Nothobranchius furzeri: one gene and its partners. The protein of the gene in region 1 purifies or fractionates together with the protein of each later gene. This does not show direct contact. Links are inferred from orthologs where the notes say so. Each region holds a gene or a part of one and is shown in the gene's direction. Other genes may lie near its edges. The genes, in order: edc4, edc3, dcp1a and xrn1.

Region 1 (4,319 bases):
GTTGTTTTATATCCGATTCTTCTCATGGTGTCCGCTGGGGAAAAAAACTCCAGCTCCTGAACAAAATTAGTCGAGGACCCCTGATCTAAAGGCTCAGGAACCTTCATCAGCGTGACACTTTGAGTCTAGAATAGGGTTGTCACGGTGTGAAAATGTAACCTCACGGTTATTGTGACCAGAATTATCACAGTTTTCGGTATTATCGCGGTATTTTTTAAACATGTTACATTTTCAGACAACTACATAAACCCCGTATATCAGGAAAATATTGTCCTCGGTTTGTGTCCTTCCAGTGAGCTTTGCAGATGTGGGAAAATGTCATCAGGCAGGAATCGTTGTTAAATTCATAATTATTCTCGGAGAGAGACCAACTCTTATCTGCCCCTGGGAGCCCCGTAATGCATAGCGTCATTTCTACATGGGGGTGTCCGCGACACGGTTTATATGCAGGTAGCGGCGCTGCGGCTGCTTTATATAGCGACTCGTTGCATTCTCCCTCAACCCAAATCCTCGGATCACGCATTTTAGCTAAAACGCTAACATTAGCTTGCCTTCCGTTGACTGTAGAGTTGTGGGTGATGGTCACGCAGATGTGTCATGAGATTTGAAGCGTTGCTGCCTTTCACAGACACTTTTTCTGCACGTGCTGCAAACAGGATAGCTGTCTTCTATCAGCTGTCCCTCGGCGTTCTTCAAATATCCAAAAGATGCCCGTACTTCTGACTTTGTCTTCTTTGAGGGATAATAAATGTCCTGAGCGCTGCCGTCTCCTCCTTTGGCCATTATTTCAGCTTTAGCTTCAAGAAAGTTTTGGTTGTAAACAACAAAGTGCGCATGTGCCGCCGGCAACTTCAGCAGATGATACGGTGGCTGGTAAGGGTCACCGCGCCTACACCGCAGCCACGGTAACCCACCGAGATAATATTGTTTTTTTAAAAACAAGACGGTTAATATTATTGTCAACTTTTTTACCGGGGTTTACCGCTACACCGGTTACCGTGACAACCCTAGTCCAGAATAGTGAACCTTTTCACAATATTCTAGTTGTCTGATATGTTGAGTGTGAGGTTCTCATCAGCTGTAAGTCAAGACAATAAAACAAATAAAGGCTGAAATCTCCGACTGAGATTAGTTTCACCTTCCAGGCTGAATCACTGACATAAACGGACTTTTGCACCAGATTCTAACATCTTGAGTTTCACCCGTATGTAGGGCTGCTCGATTATGGCAAAAATAATAATCACGATTATGGTGACTGAAATTGAGATCACGATTATTTAAGACGATTTTTCAATTTATGTTGATTCTATTTGTTTCTATTCAGTCATAAAATTGCTCAGGGCACAATCAGGACAAAAATAAGAAACAAGATGATCACTAAAAGAACTCCTGGTTCCCAGTATAAAAAGACCAATATACTTATAGCTCATAGTCTATGACCCAAGGGCTATAGACCTTGGTTTAACTCATTTAAGTCTAACCAGTACAGAACCAAATACCAATATCTTGCAAATACTGACAGCAATAATTATACAGTGGCATTTATAACAAATAAATGCAAATAAATTGATGTTCACAAAATGTTGCATAACATTTATGTAGCCGTGTCAAGGTGCTGTAGGAGAGTGCACTAGCATCGTGTCCCCAGAGAGATTAGTTATTATTTATCAGCGTGAGAAACTTATTTCTACCTTATTTATAAACTATTTATTTACAAGTCCATCAGTTAATGTAATAATTGTCCCAACCACAGCTGCACTCCCCACCCCCCAACCTGGTCTCACAGCAATCGGGCAAGCTGCACGTGTGTCTAGCTCGCCGCACGCGCACATTTAGCTGTTTTTAGCTGCTCAGGAGTCCGCAGGTGCGGTGTGTGTGTCACTCACTCTGGTTACTCCAACAGGGAGCCGGCTCTGAGAGCTGTCTTTAGCGACCGACACATCACTGCATCATCCCTTTCCTAATGTTGTGAAGAACAGTCCGGAGCGCAGGCGGAGTGTTTAGCTAACCTGCAGGAAATGTCGACGACAGTTATCCAGAAAGTAGCTAAGGGTTACCAGAGATGTTTCTGAGGTGTTCGCTAGGTACTTTTAAGATTTAAAAGTCAAGAAGGGGGTCTGAAAAGCTGCTAGAAATAGCGTCAAAGTCGCTAAGTTGGCAACACTGTGGAGGAGCGCTTCATTTGCAACTCAGGGCAGCGCAAGCGGGAGGAGCAAATAATCGGCTTGTTTTGTTTTTTATAATCGTTCAAAACTCAGATCGTAATCGTGATTAAAATTCGATTAATTGAGCAGCCCTACCCGTATGGATAAACTGCCTCTTTGTCCCTTTAAATACCCAGAGTCAACGAGTACAGCAGCTTGTGCATCAATAAAACATGTCTTAATGCTTCAGATAATTCAAGGCAGAACAAATTAAAAATAGCCGAGGCAGCGGAGGTGTCTTGATCGCAGCAGCCTCTGGAGGAATGTCTTCCTGCCTCGCCTCTCCTGCCCTCTGATTTAAAAACATTTTGATCTTCTTCTCTCCACTGTCTCTTGTGTAATTATAGAGGAGTTCTTCTTGTTCATCTGTTTTTATCATTCTTCTTCCCCTCCAGCGATTTCCAAGAGTCTGGAGCCCGTGACGGGTCAGCTGAACAGCACCATAGCGGCTAAGCTGACGGCTGTGGAGGTCTCTCTGAAGGACAATGTCAGCAAGGTGGTCAAATCCAAGGTAAAGCGTTGTGGTTTGTGTTCTTGCTGCCGCATTTTCCCACGTCCGGGTACGTCAGAACCGTCTCTCTGCTTCATCAGAACACGACCGATGCGATTGGGCGAGCAGCAGCCGAAGCCATGCAGGGTCCGATCCAGGCGGCCTACAAAGATGCCTTCCAGAGCATCGTGCTGCCGGTGTTTGAGCGAGGCTGCCAGTCCATGTTTCAGCAAATCAACGACAGCTTCAAGCAAGGAACGCACGAATGTAAGACGACCAGATACCAAATCGTCCTTCTCAGACACTGAAAACTGGTATTTTTTTATCAGGCTGTTGTTGATTCGGACCCAGGGGAGCCGATCCGGTGAAGTTAGTTTACAGACGGGGTCGTTTTGAAAGTGAAAACTTTACTTGGAGGCTTTTCTTCATGTGAGCATCTCGGATATTTGCTCAGCGACCGTTTGAGGGTTAGATTCTCTTCAAGTGGAAATCCTGTGAGGAAGAGTTATTTGGTTCTTCTCTGAAGCTGTAAATCTGGTCAGTTCTCTAATCTAACGTGTGCAGAGTGGAGGCGTCTGCACTAAACTCGGAGGCTTCGTCCTGTTTACATATAATCCACGATCACATTCCGGGTTTAGCCGTTAAATATTGACTGGAAGTGCCGCGTTAACATCTGCACCGCTGCGTAGCGACCGGGCCTGTCACACGAGTTACTTAATCGTACGATGCATTTATCTCTGAGAGGAGCATCGTCGGCTCACACAGACGTCCTCGCTCACCTGCGCCGAGCAGCCAGGTGAGATGGCCTCGTCTTCCACCTGTGAGCTTCTGCTAGGCTGCTTCACTTAAAGCCCGAAGAGAAGAGGAAGAATTAGACTTTGTGAAAATTTTCTTCCAGAAGATGAAATCCTGATATTTTTTATTTATTATTAATATTATTGATCCTACTTTTACCATGAAAATGGCTTCAACTCGTACTGAAGTCTGTGGCTGCAGCTGCGCCTGTTCGCTCACCGTCAGATCCACCTACGTGCACGAGTGTGTGTGCAGACTTGACTAAAGACCAGTGCAGTAAATATTTTATCCATTTATTCACTGAAGAGCCTTTAACGATACAGGAAGTGTGTACAGGCTGTCCGACACGTTTTAGGACATTAATACACGTTTCCTCTAAACCACCAGTGTTTCTTGGGTGTGTGTGTGTGCGTGTGTGTGCGCATGTTCGTGTGTGTGTGCGTGTGCATGTGTGTGCGTGCGTGCATGTGTGTGTGTGTTGGATGGAGAGACTCAGCCCTGCAGCTGTGACCGTGTTGATCTTGTGTGTGTTTGTGTGTGTGTGTGGGGGGGGGGGGGCTGAGGGAGGAAAATACTTTTTTAACTTTCGTCTCTGCAGACATCCAGCAGCTTGAGACCCACATGAAGAGCAGAAAGCAGAGAGAGCAGGACGCGCGGGACCCCGTGATCGGGCAGCTCCAGCAGATGATCGACAGCTTCCAGAGCTCCACGGATCAGCTGGCCAGCAGCATCACAGCCACGGTCCGGGCTGAGGTCCAACAGCAGATGCAGATCGTGGTGGGAAAGTATGTATCCGCGCCGTTCCCTCGTCGATGGCTCTGTTAGCCGAG
Region 2 (5,118 bases), about 24 Mb from region 1:
TCGTTATTGGCGCTATTTAAACTTCTGCCCAGCCCAGATGTGCTCACATGTGCACCCGTGAGCCGTGGTTCCGCTGGAACACGTCTGACCTCTGACAGACGCACTCTGAACTTCAGATCTTCAGCGCGCTGTCAATAGCCTAAATGGGAATCATTTCTTGTTATTTTGTTACATCCACAATGTTCTGTGTGTGAGGTTTACAATGTCAGAACACCTGCATGAGACAGGGTGTTAATTACAATCTGCCAGAATGACTTGCCACCTTCAGATTTCTCCAACACCGTTAAAAATGATCAAATACGGAACATATCGGCGTGCGCAGGCCAGAGTGCTGAAGCTCGGCGCATTGTTATTATGAAGCTAGGGCACATGCGGAGGACACGCGCGCGCGACGGAACATATCGGCGTGCGCAGGCCAGAGTGCTGAAGCTCGGCGCATTGTTATTATGAAGCTAGGGCATATGTGGAGGACGCGCGCGCGCAAAAATATACTTGTTTTCAATTACATTTATTGGGCCCACTTACTTTTTCTTAGGCCCACCCACAAATGAGTTTCTACAATAATGGTGACATATGACAGACTTCTCTGAGCTCCGCAGCCATTACACTTTTCACCTCGCGCACCCCCTAGCGGCAGCTCGCGCACCCCCAGGGGTGCGTGCACCACACTTTGGAAATCCCTGCTCTAGATGAAGAACCTACAAATTCTGAAAAATCTCAAGCATTGTTTATGCAAGAAGCTGCTGTCACTCAGGATTTGGCACAGAAGCTGACTGACAGCATCAGTGAACTGCAGACAGCTTCAAAAAAAGAGGAAATGCTGCAAGTACTGATTATTTGCTAACTAATAACTGTTTCCATTAAATGTGTTTATGGAATGGTTGTAAACCTTATAAAATACTTGTACTTCAGTAAAACATGTCAAACAATAACAATGAATCCACAAACAAACAAACAAACAAACCTTCTAACACCACAACTAAATCATAAAATATTAAACTCACTGGAACCCTGCTGAAGGGAGTGTGGACACATAAGTGCCAACCACACCCACATGTTTTGGACATGCAACAGAATAAAACCATTTTAGGATCAAAAATCTATTGAAATGACAAAATTATTTGGATATAAAATACCCCAAAATGAGATGATTTTAATGTTTTGTAACTTAACTGAGAATGTGGTCAAGAGAAAGGACTATCTCTGTAAAATTTTGTTAATTGCTGGTAAAAAAACAATAACCAGAACCACCAACCCTGGAACAGTGAGAGGAGACAGTGAACAATATACGATGGAACGGATCACTTTTTAGTTGAGACTGAGGGGAGAACTCTTTTTTTTAATGGGGAAAAATGGACCTCCTATCTTCAAGGGACATAGGATGCTAAAGGTAAAAATATAACTGGTTATAGGATAGAATTGGCAAAGCCCCAAGCAACTGTTTTATATTCACCCATACATTTTATTGTCATTTTTTCAATTTTGCCCTATATGGTTCTCCTTCTTTTCTTTAGTTTGTTTTTCTACCAACACAGATTTTTGTTGTATATGTTGATTAAATAAGAAAGACAAATAAATAAAAAGTAAAAAAAAAAAAAAGAAAAGAAAAAAAAGAGGAAATGCTGCAAGTATTGATTATTTGCTAACTGATAACTATTTCCATTAAACGTGTGGAATGGAATGGTTGTAAACCTTATAAAATACTTGTACTTCAGTAAAACATGTAAAAAAATAACAAAGAATCCACAACAAACAAAAACTCACTCACTCACTCACTCACTCACTTTCAGTTAAAGACTTTTGACTAAACGTTTTTACCAGCCAGATATAAAAGTTCCGTCTTATTTTGAAAAGCTCAGTCTACCGGAAACAGGAAGGCGAATAGCAGTAGCTGTTCTAAAGCTAAAACGCTAACTTCTCCGAGAGCAATTTTCTTAGCTTTTACTACCCGCTGTTTCATTTTTATTATCAAGAGGGGTCTACTTTATCTTAATTCCCTAAAGGTACGGTGATAGTTGAAGGTATTTTACGTTTCAGCACGTAAATTGGCTCTGCGTAGCTTAATAACAGGCCGGAATAATAAGCAGTCGACACATTTCGTAGGCCTAAAAATGAACAATTAATATTTGTGGTTCTCTTAGGTCACAAGTTAACGTGCTGCTGTAACAAGTGTGACAACTTTTAACTTTTTGCAGATAATGGCTGCGGACTGGTTAGGTAGTTTAGTGTCCATTAATTGTGGCCCAACGCTTGGGGTGTATCAAGGAGAAGTATCATCAGTGGACCAGTCAAGCCAAACCATCTCTCTAAGGCAGCCTTTTCACAACGGAGTCAAATGTCCAGTTCCCGAGGTCACATTCAGGTAAACACGGGTCTTTTCCACTGTTAGTAACTTTGTGTGATTTGCAGTTTCTAGTAACTATTGATACAATAGTTTGATTGTTTTTCCAGTGCCATTGATATAAGGGAGCTAAAGATTTTAGACATCAGAAGTGGTAATGCAAGGAGAACCTCTACTACAGCTACAAACGTGCACAGTGTTCCGGTGGCAGTCCCAAAGGGTGACCCCAGAGCTGTTGAGAAATTAAACTCTCCCCAGCAATGCTCTAAAAGTTACGGAGAGCGTCATCTAGATGCTCTGGGCCAACCCAAAGGGTTTCGTCGAAGACATAACTCATGTAAGGGCCATTTGTTCGGCGATCAAATAACTAAACAAAAAATCAATTTCTGTGGCATGATACTAATGGTTGAAGTTTTTCTAATCTCACCAGGGTCATCTAGTAGTCGAGGACCAAACCAAGCAACACCTAAAAAGAATGGAGTGAAGAACGGTCAGATGAAGCACAGAGACGATGAGTGTTTTGGGGACGGCATGGAGGATGACCTGGACACGGATTTTGACTTCGAAGGGAATCTTGCCCTTTTTGACAAAGCAGCAGTTTTCTCAGAGATTGACACATCAGAGCGGCGTAACGGGGCACGGTCACGGGGCACTCCTCAAGACCAGACACCCTCACGGTACCGCCATGATGAGAACATATTGGAGGGCAAACCAGTCGTTTACAGACAGATTATTGTACCTCAGCCTGGGGCCAAAGAGTACTGTACTGGTATGTGCTTAACATTGTAAATGGTATTATATGATAGTGTTTGGGTTTAAACTGGTTGACACCTTTCTCTATTACTTTCTACAGATTCTGGACTTGTTGTACCAAGTATTTCCTATGAACTCCACAAGCGGCTGTTGTCTGCTGCTGAGCGTCACGGCCTCTCACTGGAGCGAAGACTTGAGATGACTGGAGTGTGTGCCAGTCAGATGGCACTTACACTGTTAGGAGGGCCCAACAGGTAAATGTGTAAAGATGAAGACTAACTTCTAAATCACCTTAGAAATAAGGAAAGTTTTGAGTCAATTTCAGCACTTAAATTATTCGAGTAACTTAAATGAGCTAATTACAGATACTTCATTGGTTGTCATGACTGTGGTTTCCTCTGTGTCGACATGTTTAATTGGGACTGACATGCTGAGGCAGCCCGAAAAGTGGCTTCACTTTTTAATAATGGAGAAAAGCAAAGATTTTTTTATGCATGACTAAGGCCGACTCTGGTATAAATGATGGATGAAACAGACCAAACGGTTTTGGATCAATCAATCAATCAATACTTTATTAATCCCAGAGGTAAATTAGAGTTTCAGTATGCACAATTCAGAGATCAGACATACAGGTTGGTAGGTCGGGTTTTCACAGCATCTGTCTGCATTCCTTCATGGGGGTTTTTAGTTGCTTGCAGTTCAAGGCTACCAGGGCGTCAGATTCGGATAACAAGAATTTGTTTGGGTCAGGCTGATATAATTTTCCTCTTTGCCTTCAGTCTTTTAAACTGATCATTCCAGTCCTTCAGTGAAGCCAATTTTGGGTTTTTAAGCTTGTCCATACCGTCTGGTAACTCTCCGAGATGACGTCCATTTTGCACACTAATACCGGTATCGCAGCTAGAACATTGTCCAGCTTATGATTCACCTCGAGTAACGTCCCAGTCTGAGAAGTCTCCACACGTACGGTGCTTTCCGTGGGTGCAGGTCACCCTCCAACCGCTCCCGTCTTCCCAAATTTCCAGAAAACCAGATATCCTCCCACTCCAATCAGGAGAAATCCAGTGATCATCAGGCCGAATATCCACACGTCTTCGATATCCTCAATCGACAGCTGGGAGAGGCATATGATCTTCCACTCCTTCCGGGAATCCAACATATATCCCACTGGGTGTGTCCCCTGTGGACATGTGGGAGCCCCCCTACTCCGTTCTCAATGTTGAAAAAATCTTATCGATCGCATTGAATGACCAATTTATCAAATCCATGGTTAGTTAACAGTTTTTCAGAAGAAATGCAGAGAAGCGCTCTGTGGGCAGACAGGACAAAGAGCCTTGGGGAAAAAAAGATAAGGGAGCAAAAGAGGGAAGCGTCTGTACTCCTCGAGTGCCTGAAGAATCAGACATAAAGAAGATCAAACATAAAAAAGCATCAAACTTTTGAGTAAAAGATTGGGAACAACCTGCGTGATGCATGTAGCTGCAGCACTAGTCGCTTGTGTACCCTTTTGTTTTTGTTTCCTCAGGTATGTTCTGAGGTGTAGTTTCCAATGTTTCCTCTTTTCGATGTTAATGCAGGTTATTTAAAGAATTTTCGTTAGACAATTGATCCTGTTAATTTCTCCAAATTTTCTTAACCTAATCTGTGTTTCATTTCAACTCTAGATTCACACCAAAAAATTTACATCAGCATCCCACTGTGGCGCTGATGTGTGGACCTCATGTTCAAGGCGCTCAGGGTATCAGCTGTGGTCGTCACCTGGCCAATCATGAAGTAGAGGTTATCTTGTTCCTGCCAAACTTTGTCAAGATGCTTGATTCTGTGACAAACGAGCTCACACTTTTCAACAAAACTGGAGGCAAACAGGTGTCCAGTATCAAAGGTGGGTTTGTTGGGACATAAATATTGATAATTTGTTTATTTTAGTAATTAAGAGTTCAAAAATTCTATAGTTATTCTTTTATCTGACCTTGCAGATCTCCCAGACACACCAGTTGATCTGATCATAAACTGTCTGGCCTGCC
Region 3 (5,057 bases), on another chromosome or scaffold:
GTGGACTGATGACAAGTTCCAGCAGTAGAAAATAAAACAAGATTCTCTATAAAGGGTTTAATTTTCCTGATTATGATCTGGAATCGTTGTAACCAATCAAAAATGTCAAAGAATTTATTTATTTATTTATTTATTTATTTATTTAAAAATTATTATTATTTGCCGTTTTTTTTATCCTTGTGTCAAAGATCAGCCATCTTGGGTCGCAGTCTTCAACAAAAAATATCTGATTTACTTACTTCTTTTAAATAAAAACATGCATGTCTGCAGACACATGCATTTCTTGGTCATCACCTTGGTAATAAACTGTATGGTTTGCCCTGTCTGACAGATAAAATGTACTAAATCTTTGCGCACTGTCTGGACTTACCCCTCAGGTGTCTGCCCCTGATAATAAACCGCATTCTGTCACCTGTTCCTTCTTCGAGGCCTCATAGCGCCGATCTGTGTGTTCATTCTACGGCGATTCGTGAGGGAATGGGTGGTTTGGAGCTCTGATGGAATGATAGTGATTGGATTACCTGCATTCAGGGTAAAACAGATTCACGGTAGTGCGTAATCCTTAGATTATAATCCCCGTTCCCTAAGCATGAGAGATAGCTGCATGCACCAAAGCTAGGGTCAAATAATAAACATGATTTTTTAAATAGAATTTTCAGACACTTTCATTCACTTATTAGCAGTTTAGGATTTGAATAAAAGGAAAATCTAACTTTGACTTCATAACAAGGAAAATAATGCAAGTTCTTCTCAAATAGGTCTGAGTAATAAATCTGAAATTATAAACTGCATTCATAAAACCATGTCAGGCGTTGTGAAATATTGTTCTGTTTTTGCTTTCATTTTCTTTCAAGATTAACAAAATATATACCAAACAACTTGGGTAAATAAAATGATCAACAATAGAAATTTTAGGCGTAAAAACACAAGTTAAAATGAAAAAAACCATTGTGATGTGTACATATTTCCATGAAACTTGAGGTAGGAAACATATTAGGCTACATGAAATTAACATTATAATTGCAGGCTTTTGCATTGCAAATAGCTACTGAACTCAATTTTAATAATAAATAACTCCAAATTTTGATCATCCAATGAATGAGGTGTGAACAAGTTGTTAAAATAGGTATCTATTTCCGTGTTTTTCTGCTTCACAGTTTGTTGCACATTGCTAAATATTATTTTGGTGGAAATTAAATATGTGGGTTAAAAGTTTATTATCATTTTTATATTTTAAGAAACCTGCAATCACATGAAACTTTCTTAACCCTCTGGAGGCAGGCGCTGCAGATTTGCAACAGTTAAAACCTACCTAACTGGTTACTCCACATACGTATTTCATGAGCATTTTTTTAACTCAGATGTATCCCTGAAAGACTTAGTTGTTTGTTCCTTTATCAAAACTTATTTTGAGCCTGAGAGGGTTAAATGCCTAGAGTATACACATTACATGTATTCCCTTAATTTGAACTGGCTTGCATAAAAGTCCAAAAAAGTTTGAAACTTGTTTTTCTAATATCTCAAAGGATGACATTATGTGTAGGAAATAAGCTTCAACTTCAGTTGGCAAACTACCTTTTCAAACTATGTTCACATTGTTGTGGGTTTGGTTTCAGACATATTTTTTCTGCATTTTCTCTCAGAATTTGCAATTACATTGTTTTTATTATTATTATTATTATTATTATTATTATTATTATTATTATTATTATTATTATTATTCCCCGCGGAATTAAAAAAACTCCTCTGGGGAACCTTTTCAGTGGTGGGATTTCCGTAAATACCGGAAGTTATAGGTGTTTGCAAAAATTCGTCCGTGCGGCAGAAAATCATAAGCAAAGATGGCGATTAATGCTGGACATCTGATGAGTTTAGCTGCTTTGCAGAGACACGATCCATACATTAACAAACTGCTCGATGTTACCGGTCAGGTTGCTCTTTACAACTTCAATTCAAAAGCAAACGAATGGGTAAGTAAGAGAATTTACCCTGGAAAAGTTTCGGGAAATATTTGGTGGAGAGCCAACAAAGCTAGCTTCACACTTAGCTTCTGAGCTTTGATTCAAAACAGAAAATATTGTTGTTGTTTTTTTTTTGGGGGGGGGGGTTGTTTGTTTGTTTGTTTTGTTTTTTAAGTAAATGTCTTTATTTGTTTAGTTAATTAAGATAGCGTTGTCTAGTATGTTGTTTTAACGCGAACACAATTAATGCATCTTAGGTACTTTCTAATTGTAAAATTTAACGCCTTATTAGCTTTCAGTTAGCTTATCACCCTCGCTAAATTTATTTAGCTAGTTTGGATTTGCGGTTTCTAGGTTTGAGTCGTTATCTCTATTTGTTCCAGGAGAAAACCGAAGTTGAGGGAACCCTGTTTGTTTATGCAAGGTAAGAATACCTGAGAGCCACGATGGTTGTTCCGCCGTCTGCGCACGTGAGGCCTTGAAATTTGTAAACAAAGATAAAGTGGACTCTGTGATTCAGTAAATCGAACGTAAATTACAGTGTTTAGAGATTGAAACTGAAATATTATGTTATAACGTTGTAATAAACTTTATTTTTAATCAGTTAAAGCATGAAGAACTAAAACGACCACCTACAAACTTTAGTTATAAGGAAATATAATAGACTTTATTAATTTTGTGGGTAAATTCACTCGTTACAGAAGCACATACACTTAGAGAATAGAAGAAGAAAAATAACAAAAGTACCAGTAAATACACAAAGGCAAATCTTTCTGTTAAAAAAATAAACAGGACACGAATTTGTTGTAGGTTACTTTGAATTGGACTGGGAGCTACTTAAATCAATAGTAAAGTTAACTGCTATCCTTTATATTAATTACTAGCACAGTAAACAGCTCCTGCTTTTTAGCAGGTAGAGACCTCCCACACTTGTGCCGACCCAAACCATAAAACTGTTAAATGTAGTTTCTGGTCAGCAGAGGGCTACTGAGTGCTGTCCCATGTGAAGATGTTCAACTTTATGGCTGAAGAACCACTGAAACCAGTTTGAAGGCAATAGCTTAAAGTGTCGAAAACTCTTTAGTATTGCTTTAAATGGTCAATTAAAAACAATCAAATGTGGAGTAAATATTGTACCCAAAGCAATGTGAAGTGCAATTAAGGAGGTAATGTTTTTCCTGGGTCCTTATGAAGGTCTGCCTCCCCTCACCATGGCTTCACCATTATGAATCGACTGAGTGCACAGAACCTTGTTGAGCCCATAAATAAAGACCTGGAGTTCCAGCTGCAGGATCCTTTCTTGCTCTACAGAAATGGAAACTGTGAGTGTTTTGAAGGAAATGAAACACTAAAGAAGTATTTTTGAAATATGTTATTTTTTCTGTTGTATTTTGGTGTGTTTGTGGTTTTGTTTCAAGGTGACTTAACATTAAGGACTTGTTTCCAGCACAGAAAAAGTGTTTAATAAATCTGTAAACATGTTTAATGACTTCTGAACCAAAATGAAAATACATTTCCTCCTAGTATAATAGCTTATTATTATTGTTGCTTTGTTAAATTCTGTTAGTCACAAAATGCTCATTATTTAATAGAAATTTCTGCAATTTTGGCATTTTCATAATTTTCCTATTTGAAGCATTAGTGATATCTTCACTTTTACATACAAATGTGTGTATTAATTATATTAACTAGCACAAACACTATTATGATCCTTAATTATATTAACTAGCATAAACACTATTATGATCCTTAATTATATTAACTAGCATAAACACTATTATGATCCTTAATTATATTAACTAGCATAAACACTATTATGATCCTACCTGTGAAAACAATAGACAGATATCTCCCCAGCGTTCGATGGAACACCTCTCTTCCATATTGCTTGAAGTCATTGTGACGTCTTGCAGCATCAAGCAGGAACACTTTAGCACTCATGGCCCAAAATGGCCAAACAGCAACTTCAGCTTTGCTAGTGAACAGTTATCTTTCTGCATTTGGGCAACCGTCTCAGAGTTAAGTCTCTGATTGGTGAATCCGACCACTAAGTTAATCCAGCGATGTCCTCCAGCCTTGTGACAGAGCAGTGTAACAAAAAGGCCGCAAAGTTTCTCAAATCTTCAAAAAGTAGCTGACTGCGCTGCCTCCAAGGTAATCTATTAGAAGTCTGAAGAGAAGCTTCATCAGGGCAACGAACAAGGAGTTAGAATGCTTTCCCATTTGTTTGCTTATAAGGAAAAACAGCATAGCCAGGGTCAAAGTTAGAGTCGACGGCTCCCCTTTTGGAGTTGGTTTGCACATCAGCCTGGCTGGGATCGAGGACATGATGAGGTTGGTATCCCAGTAAAACCAGCTTCTCGGATAACTTTACTTTAGCATGTGTGCTAATATTGTTGTTTGGTGGAGTTGCAGGAAGATAATCTTCAGGTTTCTCCCTGGCAGCAGACAGTCCCTCGCACACACACAGTCCACTAGATCTCAGTGTGCTGACTCGTTCTGTAGCCTGTTGCTGTAAAGGTGTGGCTGTATGAGTTTAGATTTCCCAGCTGTGATCCTGAAAGCGAGAGTAGTAGAAGAAACGATGAAGACTGAGCTGGCATAAAAGCAGGATCAAATAAAGAGCACAGGTTAGACACAAGTACGGTTAAATCTTCAGAGAGATGGTGATGATTAACAAATATATGAGTGTTTCTTCAGTCTCCTTTGAGTGCTTGTGAGCTTGCAGCTCGGGGCTATAGACTGTTGGAGAGAGACATACTTGTTTACATGGCTTCATATTCCCTTTGGTGGCTGGAGATGCTGCAGGGAGGCAAACTCTTCAGTTGCTAGGTAACCACAGCCTCCCTGGGGGATGGTATATTCACCAGTGTGTTGGTGCAATCCAAAATCACATAAGTGATGTGGTAACAAGTTAATGTTTCTGTGAAAAATGTAATATTTAATCACTAAATCATTTTTGGTTTGTGTCAAATTTGATGTTATTTTTTTCTGTTCTCTATCTGCTGCTTGAAACAAAGATGCAAATCATGCAGAACCGAGTCCTTGACACAGCTCTAAACAGCTTTATTCAGTCATCACCCTAATTCTGTGCTT
Region 4 (4,319 bases), on another chromosome or scaffold:
CACCTGTTTACTCTGTGTTTCACACACGAGGCATGTCTTGTAATGTGAGTGTTTTGTTCTGTACACGTGGGAAAAAGTTTATTCGTTTCATTTTAGTCTTGAAGCGGTTTGTTTTGACATGTTTGTGGGTGTTTCTGATCACTCCTGCTATTGTAAGCCACGTAGGCATAGCGGCGCTAAAGGCTGTGAGAACTCCAAGCACCAACTAGAAAACATTTTACGGTCACCCACATCATCATTCCTGTTTGCAGAAGACTCTTTCTTAAGCGTTGTCGTTCTTCACATTTGCAGCGAGTTTCTCGCAGAACAAGCCAGGTGTTACGTGGAAGGTATCCAGTGGATTCTTCACTACTACTATCATGGTGTTCAGTCCTGGAGCTGGTGAGAGCTTTTATGTTTTGAAGAAAACAAAAACTGTTAAAAATTCACTTGTAAAACGACACATTTCAGATGATCGTGACAGACCACGTTGTTTAGGTTATTAAAGCATTTATTGACCTGAATTCACTTAATTTAACATAACAAAAGATTTTCTTTTGTGGTTTTGATTTAAAATCATTTTTTAATTATCATGTGTGTCTCCAGGTACTACCCATACCATTACGCTCCGTTCCTGTCCGACATCAAAAACATATCAGGGTTGAAGCTGACCTTTGACCTCGGGAAGCCCTTTATGCCTTTCCAGCAGCTGTTGGCAGTCCTGCCTGCAGCTAGCAAGGTTCTGCTGCCTGAGTGCTACAGGGTGATTATTGCCACACTCTAAATACTTTTGAGTTGGGGATATAAATGTTTTACAGGCACAAGGTGTCAGTCTGAGGGCCGTGATGCGATTATAAAACATTAAAACTACCGTAGGTTTCACCAAAATACAGGAAGTTGTTATACATGACGGTTATTTTAAGAGTCGGACTGAGACACAAAATCCTGATGCTGCCGATGAGATGGATGATACTTGTTGTTTTGATGCCCCAGGATCTGATGACGAGCACAAACTCCCCCATCATTGAGTATTATCCTCTAGACTTTAAAACGGACCTCAACGGCAAGCAGCAGGAATGGGAAGCTGTGGTGCTCATTCCATTTATAGACGAGGTATACACACACACACACACACACAAAAGCGCCGCTGGTGGCAGACTAATGTTACCTCAGACGAACTCATTGACCCGTGTCTGCGTGCTTTAAACAGAGGTGCCTGCTAGCAGCTATGGAGCCCTTCAACCACAAGCTGACAAATGAAGAGAAAGCCAGGAATCGGCATTCAGAGTGTGACTTGTACTCGTATGATGGAGATTTAGACTTCACGTACAACTCCTCCCTGCCTCACCTGTTCCCCAGCATCATAAACTGCCATGTCAAGTAAACACAAACACATTAATACAGATCTGTGTTTGATACAGGATAATTATCTCTGAAAGACAGAGTGCACGTCACAAGCTCAGCCGGTTTTCATTGGTTGTTTCAGGAAAGTCAGCATCCCGATGGACACGTGGAAAGTTCCTCCTGGTCACATCTACAAGCGCGCTGACCGCTCGGCGCTCTACTTCTGTGGTTTCCCTACTTTGCACCATATCAAACACAAGGTGGGCTGGGTGACTGCTGATGTTTTCATTTTGCAAGTTTATAGACAAAATGTAGCACAAGTACCATTTTTTTATGTCTTCAATCAGTAATGCGTGTTAAATAAGATTTAATTATGATGTTTTAATGCAGACTTGCATTGAAAAGCTCCTCGTCTTTTCACTAGTTCTATAAGAAGAAGAGTGGCGTTGTAGTCTTCCAGCAGAGCAGCAGAGGGGAGAACATGATGCTGGAGCTTCTCCCCAGTCAGGACGGGGAAACGGTGAGTTTTGGTTTTCTTCATAAATCTAGGGCTGGGACCAAAACTTACATTTTGATCTTTATTAGCTGAATTCTGATGCGTGATATTTATCGCAATATCTGACTTCCTGTACAGATTTTACAAAATATCTGTTACATGTCTCAAACACACAATATATTTATCATCTATGTAAACCATGTAGAACCTAGGAGTCTGGCCCATATCACTCTTAATACTATAGTATCATGTAACACAATATAGTCATTTTTTATTTTTTCTTACCCAGAAAAAAATAATTTTTCAACATGGTGATTTAAATGGGAACTTGGCAGTTTTGGCTTGCTTTTAGCACCCCCTAGTGTCAGTTTGTAGAACCAAAACCTTTCTCCTCGTCGTCTCTTCAACAGCTGGAATGTCTCCCCTGCTTTCATTAGTGTCTGCATGAGTGATTCATTGCTAAATTTAACAAATCAGCTAACATGCAGGAAACGTGCTGGAACCAGACTGCGGCGTCAGGTATGTCGGATCAATTTTAGCACATTCTGGCTCAAGAAAATGATTTAAAAATATGAAAAAGTTGCAAAGCATCTCTTAAAAGATGTAAATAAATCCACAATGCAGCAGATTATGCTAACATGTTCACACAGCACAGAGGAAGGCAAACATAGTTGGAATCTCACATTATTTACTCATAATTCGGCACCATGTACCTGTTAGCTGATGATGCAGGGGATTTGGCCCGTCTCACCAAACAAACAGGAAAAACAAAACAGTCAGTCATGACGAATAAGCTCACTAAAACACAAACGTCCCCAAAAACTGTAACCAAAAAGCTGAGTTTGAAGTTCAGGGCAGAAAATTAAACCCGGATATTTTTATTTTCTGGTAGTTTTGTCTGCACCAGATCGTCTTGACGTGTAAGAATGATCGTTCAGGGTTTCCCCCCCATCGCTTTGTAAGCTGCTTGGCCAGGCTAAGCGTCATGCCCCGCCCCCCTCCTCGACACAGCTGTGTCTGCTGACAGGAATGGCGCAACAAAACTAGAGCCCTCCATCAGCTGGTACTGGTGAGAAACAGCAGCGGAACGTGTGCAAACCCCCCCCCCTGCCCGGATCTGCCAGGCTTAACTCATTTTCTGGGGGAAACCCTGATCGCTTATTGTCAGACGGAGGAGCAGCAAGCTAGCAGGAGCGATGCCTGCTGACTAGAAACTCACTGGTTGTATATTTATATTAGGGCTGCACGATATTAGGAAAACCTGCGATATTCGATAACAGTGCTTAATATTGCGATATCGATATTACTCACGATAAATGAACAAATACTAAAGTATGCAGTGTTGATGTCGTCTGGCGTGTGACGTCTGCTCTGGGTTCAAAGCAAACAAAAACTAATGCATGAATTCCATTACAACATAACATTTTTATTGCAAAAATATGCAGCTGCACCTGCTACTGTATTAGCAGCAAAACAACAAACTGCATGCATGCAGCTTCTCAGTGACTTTAAAACATCACCACCACCATAAAACTTTTTCTGATGCTCCAAATACAGAAAAACATCCCTTACCAGGGTTTTTGGAATAAATAAAAACATCATAAAATAAGTTTAAATGTTAAATAATAGTTAACATCACTTACATGCAACAGCAAGTTCTCTCATTGCTACTGAACATTTTCTCCACTTATGTGGTTATGATATAAGGCTGTTGCTGTAATTGGGAAGTGATCTGTGCTGGGCCAAACTAGGAGAATATTAAGATTTTTTGAGGGAAAGAGAAAAACAAGAGGAACTGGCAAAAAAAACTACATGGAAAATATGTGAAAACGTTTGTTTTTATCCCCAAATTGAACAAGTTTACCTAGATCTTAAAAAGCAGCTCAGATGATGAAACTGCAACTATGATTCTGATAACAAGCTAACAAATTGAACTAGCTCCTCTTAAGATTACCAGCTAGCAGAGCTTCTGACTGACAGTTTATGTGCAGCAGCAAATCAACTATCCTGATTAACAAGGTTATAAATGAAAAATCACTTTGATGTGTGGGGGAACTTTTCCAGGCCCTCTTTAGCAGGGTGGGACTGGGAGGAGAGTGCTGTAGCCTTTTAGCTGGAAGCTAACCGGACCGGAGCATGGGGCTAACGTCACCACCCGGTGGAACACTAGCGACATGGAGGTGGGTGGGTTGGTTCACCGGCACGTGTCGGAGTCAGCCCGGTTATTATCAGCTGCTTAACGACACCGAGCGGACTCACGTTCACGTTTGAAAGCAGCGCTGATTCCAGAAACCTCAGCACAAAGTGCGTTCGTTAATCTGAGCCAGCATGACGAACAAGGGAAGCGAGCGGCAGCGGAAAGCGGGGGCGGAGCGGAGATAGTGGGATTTTGGGGTAAGGGTCTACGTAGGGGGCGGGCGTATTATGTGAACGGACCCATCTGATTGGCCGCATATCAGAGGGGCTACATTTGATTGATCAAATAATACTTCCGCGTAAA

Evidence for each region.
Region 2: the proteins of edc4 (region 1) and edc3 purify together in Homo sapiens (affinity purification with mass spectrometry; 6 studies listed by BioGRID and IntAct, with this or other methods). This does not show direct contact. The link is inferred for Nothobranchius furzeri from reciprocal best matches to the Homo sapiens genes EDC4 and EDC3.
Region 3: the proteins of edc4 (region 1) and dcp1a purify together in Homo sapiens (co-immunoprecipitation; 9 studies listed by BioGRID and IntAct, with this or other methods). This does not show direct contact. The link is inferred for Nothobranchius furzeri from reciprocal best matches to the Homo sapiens genes EDC4 and DCP1A.
Region 4: the proteins of edc4 (region 1) and xrn1 purify together in Homo sapiens (co-immunoprecipitation; 4 studies listed by BioGRID and IntAct, with this or other methods). This does not show direct contact. The link is inferred for Nothobranchius furzeri from reciprocal best matches to the Homo sapiens genes EDC4 and XRN1.

Annotation. Positions count from the first base shown.
Region 1 is NC_091744.1:83,092,393-83,096,711, forward strand, and holds part of edc4 (enhancer of mRNA-decapping protein 4), read left to right. Parts: intron 1-2,599; coding exon 2,600-2,715; intron 2,716-2,795; coding exon 2,796-2,961; intron 2,962-4,087; coding exon 4,088-4,274; intron 4,275-4,319. UniProt on the Homo sapiens protein: In the process of mRNA degradation, seems to play a role in mRNA decapping. Component of a complex containing DCP2 and DCP1A which functions in decapping of ARE-containing mRNAs. Promotes complex formation between DCP1A and DCP2.
Region 2 is NC_091744.1:58,993,948-58,999,065, reverse strand, and holds the start of edc3 (enhancer of mRNA-decapping protein 3), read left to right. Parts: upstream 1-1,862; 5' UTR 1,863-2,003; intron 2,004-2,195; 5' UTR 2,196-2,198; coding exon 2,199-2,362; intron 2,363-2,434; coding exon of another isoform or gene 2,435-2,451; coding exon 2,452-2,678; intron 2,679-2,771; coding exon 2,772-3,110; intron 3,111-3,194; coding exon 3,195-3,348; intron 3,349-4,758; coding exon 4,759-4,976; intron 4,977-5,070; coding exon 5,071-5,118. UniProt on the Homo sapiens protein: Binds single-stranded RNA. Involved in the process of mRNA degradation and in the positive regulation of mRNA decapping. May play a role in spermiogenesis and oogenesis.
Region 3 is NC_091755.1:32,995,503-33,000,559, reverse strand, and holds the start of dcp1a (mRNA-decapping enzyme 1A), read left to right. Parts: upstream 1-1,802; 5' UTR 1,803-1,841; coding exon 1,842-1,970; intron 1,971-2,344; coding exon 2,345-2,385; intron 2,386-3,155; coding exon 3,156-3,283; intron 3,284-5,057. UniProt on the Homo sapiens protein: Necessary for the degradation of mRNAs, both in normal mRNA turnover and in nonsense-mediated mRNA decay. Removes the 7-methyl guanine cap structure from mRNA molecules, yielding a 5'-phosphorylated mRNA fragment and 7m-GDP.
Region 4 is NC_091751.1:60,943,586-60,947,904, forward strand, and holds part of xrn1 (5'-3' exoribonuclease 1), read left to right. Parts: intron 1-291; coding exon 292-381; intron 382-585; coding exon 586-742; intron 743-972; coding exon 973-1,092; intron 1,093-1,189; coding exon 1,190-1,359; intron 1,360-1,465; coding exon 1,466-1,583; intron 1,584-1,747; coding exon 1,748-1,843; intron 1,844-4,319. UniProt on the Homo sapiens protein: Major 5'-3' exoribonuclease involved in mRNA decay. Required for the 5'-3'-processing of the G4 tetraplex-containing DNA and RNA substrates. The kinetic of hydrolysis is faster for G4 RNA tetraplex than for G4 DNA tetraplex and monomeric RNA tetraplex.